Linked DNA regions of Saccharomyces cerevisiae S288C. The gene in region 1 interacts genetically with each later gene. Each region holds a gene or a part of one and is shown on either strand. Other genes may lie near its edges.

Region 1 (3,055 bases):
GGCAACGCTGCATAGTGAACAATTCATTACCTATTTATCATTTTTAGTTGGAATTTGGCCACCTTATGGCACATTTACCATTTGAGGGATCTGAAGATCAAGTCCGCCTTAAGGGTGCATATCATGCGTCATTTGTCTGCGTTAAGGTGCAGACGCTTCCCTTGAAAATCGCCGAAAGAAGCTAAGCCGAAGTGACACGGGCCTTTTCCTGCGTCAAAAGAAGCCGATGATCTACCAGAAAAAGATCATTCAACAGTTAAGGGCTACAGTAGTTCTCAGCGAATACCGGCTGATGTACAGAAGCGAATTCCTGTTGGGGAATCTCACTGTACCCTTCAAATATGTAATGTTAGAGTAGCAAAAGTTCTTGGCTTAGCAATTACATTTAACGCTGATGATCCTCGGTTTATGAGCAGAAAATAGGGAAAAACGTGTACAAATGATTCTCTCAGAATGTGCAACTAGCATCCCCTTTTAGAAATGCCTTGTTGAAAATTCCCCTAAGACGTTACTCATTAGAATACTATAAAAATTGGGAGGAAAGCTAAAAACACTTTTGGTTTCTCTTGTTCCTATCAATCATGCTCTAGTATTTGATTTCGATCAGTTTTCACATCTAAGAACCCAATCAGCTATTATGAAATTCACATCAGTGCTAGCATTTTTTCTTGCAACTTTAACAGCTTCTGCAACACCACTTTACAAGAGGCAGAACGTTACTTCTGGCGGCGGTACGGTCCCCGTGATCATCACGGGTGGACCTGCTGTATCTGGTAGCCAGTCAAACGTTACTACCACAACGCTATTCAACTCTACTTCCACCTTAAACATCACTCAACTTTACCAAATTGCTACTCAAGTTAATCAGACTTTACAAAGCGAATCGTCTTCCGGCATTATAATCGTCACAAACTGGCGTTCCATTGAAACTTTGAGTTTCTTCTGCTCAATCGTTTTTAATACATCAAAGACCATTGTCATTACTGAGAATTTCTTATGGGGTGTACCAATATTGAGTAGTTCGGACGCGGAAGGTAGAGGCACTTTGGTTGCCGGTAGAGATAAAGTTGTGTATTCTGGTGTTTTCCCTCCTTACACTGTTCCTGTGGGCGTTTTGTCTGGTCAGAAGAATGTTCAATGGTTCTTTGATGCCTGTGAGCCAACTCTGATTGCCAGCAACTCCACAATCAGAACTCAATACTCGAATTTTACGAGCGCACAAATATCTTCTAATGCCTCCTCCGGGACCAATACATCCTCATCATCCTCCAGTCCATTGGTTCCAATTATATACGAAGAAGGATATTCTCAAAGCTTAATTCAATCACTAAGTTCTAGTATCCAAGGTTTGGTTGTTGTCAGCTCTGGTACAAGTCACAACAGTACCGTGGCATCATGGACATCGGTCGACTTCCCTGTCGTTTATGCAAGTGATGGATCCAGTGGTCATGATGGTTCAGGAATTGGGTTCATAAGTAACACAAGTATTCCACAAGGTGCAATTTCTGCTGGGTACTTGTCACCAATCCAAGCGCAAACTTTGTTGTCTATTGCTATCCATAATCAAGTCACAAGTAGTAGCGAGTTACAACAAATCTTCCCTGTTAGTCAACAATAAGATGATTATGTGTTGTGTACTACGAAAATAAGCAAAAAATAAATAAAATAAAAACAAAAACAAAAACAAAAACAAAAACAAAAACAAAAACAAAAACACATATTGTTATGATGACTGGACGAAAGAAAGATCGTCGTTACTTTCCTAATTGTTTGTCTTCAGTACAGTTATTATCAGTGTTCTCTTTCTTTTTTATTGTACTATGTGATGTTACTGATACATCACGCGCTTCCTTTATGTTTTCTTTTTTTATGTTCGTTACAGGATTTATAGTTTTTACAGTATATTGACTTCAATAATTTCTAATATTCAGTTCCTATTAAATTTGATTATTCCGATTAGATCGGTCGGCGCTACCAAAAAGAGGCGAAGAAAAGAGGAAAACGCAAGTGGATAAAGGGGTGGGGGGCAAAAGTATTTAAGAAAAAGCGATGCGATGGAGAGAACAAATGGATAAGTTGCGTTTCCTCGTTATATTACAACATTTAAATCTATTGTGTAACAGACTATAGCATATATATGAAGGCCAGTTACTTAGTTTTGATTTTCATTAGCATATTCTCCATGGCACAGGCATCTTCCTTATCATCATACATCGTAACTTTCCCCAAGACGGATAATATGGCTACGGACCAGAATAGCATTATTGAAGATGTCAAAAAATATGTGGTGGACATAGGGGGTAAAATAACACACGAATATAGCTTGATAAAGGGCTTTACAGTGGACTTACCTGATAGCGACCAAATTTTGGACGGTCTGAAAGAACGTTTGAGCTATATTGAAAGCGAGTACGGTGCTAAATGCAATTTGGAAAAGGATTCAGAAGTTCATGCTCTAAACCGTGACCATTTAGTTGCTTAGAGTAATTTAAAATATACGCGACTATAACTTTTTCCCAACTTTTATACAAAAAACTACAATTTATATATGATATGCAAATAACACATAGGTTTAATCTTCACTGTTCAACTTTTATAGTTGTCAAAAAATTCTTTTATGCCACTACCGATTCTTTTGGAAGCTTCAATCAACTGATCATCATCCCTTGCATAGGCGATGGTGAGTCTTAGAAAATCTGAATTCTGCTTTGAATAATTTGGGCAAACAGCCATTTTATAACCAAGCACTACTTTAACACCATTCTTCAGCAAGAACTTATCTAAAATATCCATCTGTTGCGGCAAATCGTCAGGTCTATCGAAATTCCCCCAATTGATTTTAATAATGATGAACATACCCGCGGAGGGTTCCATAACGGTAAACTGACCAGCTTGGTAAGATTCTGTTTCGTATAAGGCTTTCAAAGTAAGATTTTTCCTATGATTGTATTTAGAAGCAATCTGCATTATCCATCTTATCCAACCCTCAAACATTGCTTCTTTCATAGAAAGAGAGGACGATAAGTTGGACTCAGCCATTGCCTTTATTGTAGAA
Region 2 (4,877 bases), on another chromosome or scaffold:
AATAGCTCATATTTGTTGAGCAAGTGTAATTTATCAAACGTATTATTTAGCTCTAAAGGATCCAAATCAAAGATACCCCTCAGTGAGCAAAATATCATTCTGCTTAGTTGTGACCAATTTTCGGAAGGAATGTTTTCGATAGATGAATTTCCATACAGTACTGAAAGCATAATTTCTGAACTGTTTGAAAACTCGATGAATTTTGTGATTTTTAGGCGTGTAAAGCAATGAATGAATGCATTTTGGCAAAAGTCAAAAACAAATGATAGCGTATCATTTCGTAGCATGCAATATACATTGAACAAACAGGAAAAGATTTCAATTTTTTTCTGGGCACTCTGAGCACTAGATATAAATTTTTCAAATTTCAGTATAGTACGATGAGATGTTTTTGAATCATTACTGATTAAAACATTTGAGATTTCCAAATTAGCAGTCTTTAACAAAAACGAATGACTCTTAAATAAAACAGAAGCATTGAAAAGGACACTGATAATATTTGACAGTCGTTTAGGCTCTTTATAATCGATACAAATTTCTGATAAAACTCCCAGAAGTTCGGATAATAATGCCGCCGCAGATTCGTCATTAATGGATTTAATATTTGAGTTGATATAAATAACAGTACAATCAAACTGCCTCAATATATCCTTATTTTTAGGTAATCCCTCTAGGCGAATAGTAGACCAAAGACAGACTAAACATTTTAATGTTGCGGATATATGTTTCCCTTTATTTTGTAGAAAATTCGTTGCATTTTCGAGTATTACGTTCAAATCATCGACAGATATACAGGACCAGAGAAGACGGTTTTCACTCATGTTGCAGTATTCATTGAATTCTTTTTTACTTTTTATCGCTCTTTGTACCTCAGTAGTTTCTTCGTAACTTAAAATGTCTAGAAGCATTATTTTATCCAATCCATCGTACAGCATGGAATAGGATAAGTAAAATGAATTTAAATATATTTTATTAGGTCCCATCTCCAAATAATTTTTATGAAGAAGGTTTTTGCTAAAACACTCGACGGTAATGTTGCTAATGAACTTTTTAAAAGGTAATTTGAACTGTTTGATATATTGTAGAAATTTTAGCCCGAATAGAACTTTGCAACTCGTCGTGACAGAAAAAAAGCTCAGCACGATTTTTGTGAGAGCGTGAGCTTTGAGGTTAGGGTCTTTCAAAAGATATCTTTTATCATGGGAAAATAGTTCTAATATATGCGGTAAGTATTCGTCTACTAGCTTTCTTTTCAGTATAATCTGCAGCGCTAATATTTTCAGATTTGAAAGATAGTAGTCGTTCCACGTACTGAAGTCTGCTAGAAGAATGTTTTTCAGACTATGAGCTTGAAATAAATTCGTTTCATTGAAAAGAAAAATAATTTCAGAGGAGGCCAATCCTAATGCGTTATTATTTATTAGTTTAACAATTATCATCAAATGTTGTTTAACAGTGGAGTTTATATGGCCCCACATGTGATGGCTCTTCAATAGGCTATATATTGAATTTAATGAATGGTCAACAGTGGTAATATCCTCAATGGCTAAGTCTATGTTATTGCTTGCAATTTTTGTAAAGTCACGTATTATGTTATTATGCATTGCTAGTATGCCAATAGAATTGGATGAGGCGTCTCCAGACAACACCGAGGTCAGTGGTCTAGTTTGGCCACTATGATGTACTTTCGAAAGCGTGTCGTTTAAAAGGTAGGACTTGCTAGTCATCGGAGTATTCGGACTAATCTCATTCAGCGGTTCCTCCTGTTTTACCATCATTCCTTAATTTATAAGCACTTCGTGCCTAGGTTAAATTATTACTAGGTTAGCCTCAAAAATGTTGGGTTTAGGTCAACTTTTTACTATGCTCGCAGTTAGAAGGAAAAGAAAAATATGCTATAGCCAGATGCTCCTGTGAAACGTGTCCTAACTAAAATAATTCGGATGTTTCTGATGATAGAGTGTCTATATTCCTCCAAAAGGAATTTAACTAATTGTGGTAAGCTTCTCGCTTCAAATGCGCAATGTTACGTGGATGGGCTTTGTATCCATGTTCTTGTTTTTGTTTGTTTACCTCTTTTCTGTAAAGACCCGTGAAGTTTGAAAAGAAAGAAAATAAAAACAAACACCAAGAAATGCAGACAATAAGTACTTGTGGACAGGTTGCCGCTAATAGAACGTGAATCGAGCTACTTTATACGCATTTAATTCCTCATGAAATGGTTTTAGAAACGCTGAAACAAGGGCTTGACAGCAGTCAAATACATGAAGCTTTAATACAACTAGATTCCTATCCTCGCGAACCGGTGGATCTAGATGCCTCGATGGTTCTCATAAAATTCGTAATTCCAGTTTATCCATCACTACCAGAAAGATCGAAGGTGATATTGAGACGGCTAGCTTCTAAATCGTTTACATTTTTATGCCAAATTGTCACCTTCTCAAGGACAATAAGTGGCCGCGATGGACTGCAAGAGATACGCATATACCAAGAAATTTTAGAAGACATCATCAGTTTTGAACCGGGATGTTTGACTTTTTATTTAAAGGCAAGCACTACTAGCAAAGCAGACCGTGATAGCATTAAGGCCCTTTTCTTTGGGAGCAAGTTATTTAATGTGTTGGCCAACCGAATTGATATGGCGAAATATTTGGGATACCTTCGGCTTCAGTGGAAATTTCTACTTGAGAGTAATGAAACAGATCCACCTGGGTTTTTAGGGGAATGGTTAGTTTCATCATTTTTGCTTAACCCAGTGCTAGCGGCAGATATGTTATTAGGCGAATTATTTTTATTGAAAGAGTCGTATTTCTTTTCTTTTCAGAAAATCATATCTGCTAGTAGTCTGATAGATCAAAAGAGGCTGATTGCTAAGTTTTTATTACCATATATTCAAGTTATCGTGACTTTAGAAAATTTGAACGATGTTAGGAAAATTCTGCGGCGGTTTGATCTCGATAAAATCATAAGTCTGTCCGTATTATTTGAAATACAGTCGCTGCCATTGAAGGAAGTGATAGTACGTCTGATGAGCAACCACTCTTCCACGAAGTTTGTTAGCGCTTTGGTAAGTAAATTTGCTGATTTTACAGATGAGGAAGTAGACACAAAGACATGTGAATTGCTTGTACTCTTTGCAGTGCACAATCTCAATCATTCCCAGAGAGAGGAAATAGCACACGATGAGCGGTTTTTGAATGGCGTGACCAAACATTTAGGTAGCAATGAACGTGAGGCAAGGGAGCGTGCGATGTTTATTGCCAAGCTTTTATCAGGCGGTCATCTGAAGTACGAAAGTGATTTTAAAATCAATATACCGAATGTCAAATTCGAAAGCAATAGCGATGATAAAATCATTGATTTCCAATCTTTAAAAAATCCATCCATATGCAATACCCAAACTGATGTGGGTAAGGATAAGATTACTGAGGTCTCGGGTCATGTTCAAAGCCTTACATTGGACTGCAGTGATAGCGATGATGAAGATGAGAACGATGAGCGGGAGATTGTTAAACGAATTGTATTTTTAAAAGATTTAATGAAAGAATACGAAAAAACTGGGGAATCTCGAAAAGCTCCATTGATACCACTTCTGAAGCAAACAGTGAAATTGATACGGCAAAAGGCGGATTTTCAGTTAGAGGTTGGCTATTATGCACAAGGTATTCTGTCAAGCATTGTGTGCTTGAATAATGAATTTGATGAACCGCTTTTCGAGCAGTGGAGAATAAACGCTCTAACAAGCATACTGGTCGTCCTTCCAGAGAAGGTGAATGGCGCTATAAATATTCTATTCAATTCAGAACTGTCGTTACAGCAAAGGATGTCACTATTGTCGGCTCTGGGTCTTTCTGCAAGAGAGTTGAGAGGGCTTGATGATCCTACTATTGTCAAGCCCAAGTTTGATTTTCCAACAAATCGTTTACCGTGGGATGATCAAAGCCATCATAATAGTAGGCTTGTTGAAGTTCAAGAGTCAACAAGTATGATAAAGAAGACGAAAACAGTATGGAAATCTAGAAAACTAGGCAAGGATCGAGAAAAAGGAACGCAAAACCGCTTTAGAAAATATGCTGGTCTATTCTTCTATCCGCTAGCACACGGTTGGCTTAATGGAATTGACGTAGGCACATACAATCAGCTTTTTAAGTCGCATTATTTAACAACACTGCGTATCATATACTCTTGCGCTAACCCGGTCCACGATTTTGAATCCATGACGGAGTTGATGAATCATATAATTAGTTCAGCCATAGAGGAAGGAATTTCTCTCAATAAAGGTTAGTAGCATAGTTATTTGTACCAATCTTATGATACATATTTGAATAAATTTAGTGCGTTCTCTGTCAGCGTCGTTAGTATTTAATGCACAGCATATTATTTCAGAAGGTCGGCCGACTCCTGCAACTGGGAAAAAGAACTTCAATAAGAAAAGGCCTGAACAAATCTGCTTGGTAAGGGCCCAACAACATTTAAGAAATTGTACATTTTGAAAGCACTGATCCATCAATTAAAGCACCGAACAACCTCAGAGTTGATACAATTATTAGTTAAAGGATAGGATATGTCATTTTTTGATTCTTTACGTCAAAAGGCACCCTTTTTGGATAAACTGGCAGACAGTTTCACTCCAACATTAACCAGAGATGAGAAATTCAGATTAAAATATAAACTTCCAGCTAATGAAAACATTTTGGAAGATACGAATGCAGAAGTTTCATTTGCAACTTCCATTAAAGATGGAAAAGGGCATTCTGATAGAGTGAACAATAAAGGGAGAAAAACTGCTTATGTGTATTCCGGGAGATTGTTTTTAACACCTCATTTTCTGGTATTTCGAGATGCATTTGATCATTCATCGTGCGTACTAATACTGA

The links.
Region 2: mutations in YHR138C (region 1) and TEL2 together harm fitness more than expected from each alone (negative genetic interaction), as found in Saccharomyces cerevisiae (2 studies listed by BioGRID).

What each region holds. Positions count from the first base shown.
Region 1 is NC_001140.6:376,782-379,836, reverse strand, and holds YHR138C (uncharacterized protein), read left to right. Parts: upstream 1-2,137; coding exon 2,138-2,482; downstream 2,483-3,055. Other genes in the region: SPS100 (Sps100p), read left to right, coding at 638-1,618; ARO9 (aromatic-amino-acid:2-oxoglutarate transaminase), read right to left, coding at 2,587-3,055.
Region 2 is NC_001139.9:685,681-690,557, forward strand, and holds TEL2 (Tel2p), read left to right. Parts: upstream 1-2,218; coding exon 2,219-4,285; downstream 4,286-4,877. Other genes in the region: ESP1 (separase), read right to left, coding at 1-1,778; GTPase-activating protein MDR1, read left to right, coding at 4,565-4,877. UniProt on the Saccharomyces cerevisiae protein: Part of the TTT complex that is required to stabilize protein levels of the phosphatidylinositol 3-kinase-related protein kinase (PIKK) family proteins. Required for telomere length regulation and telomere position effect.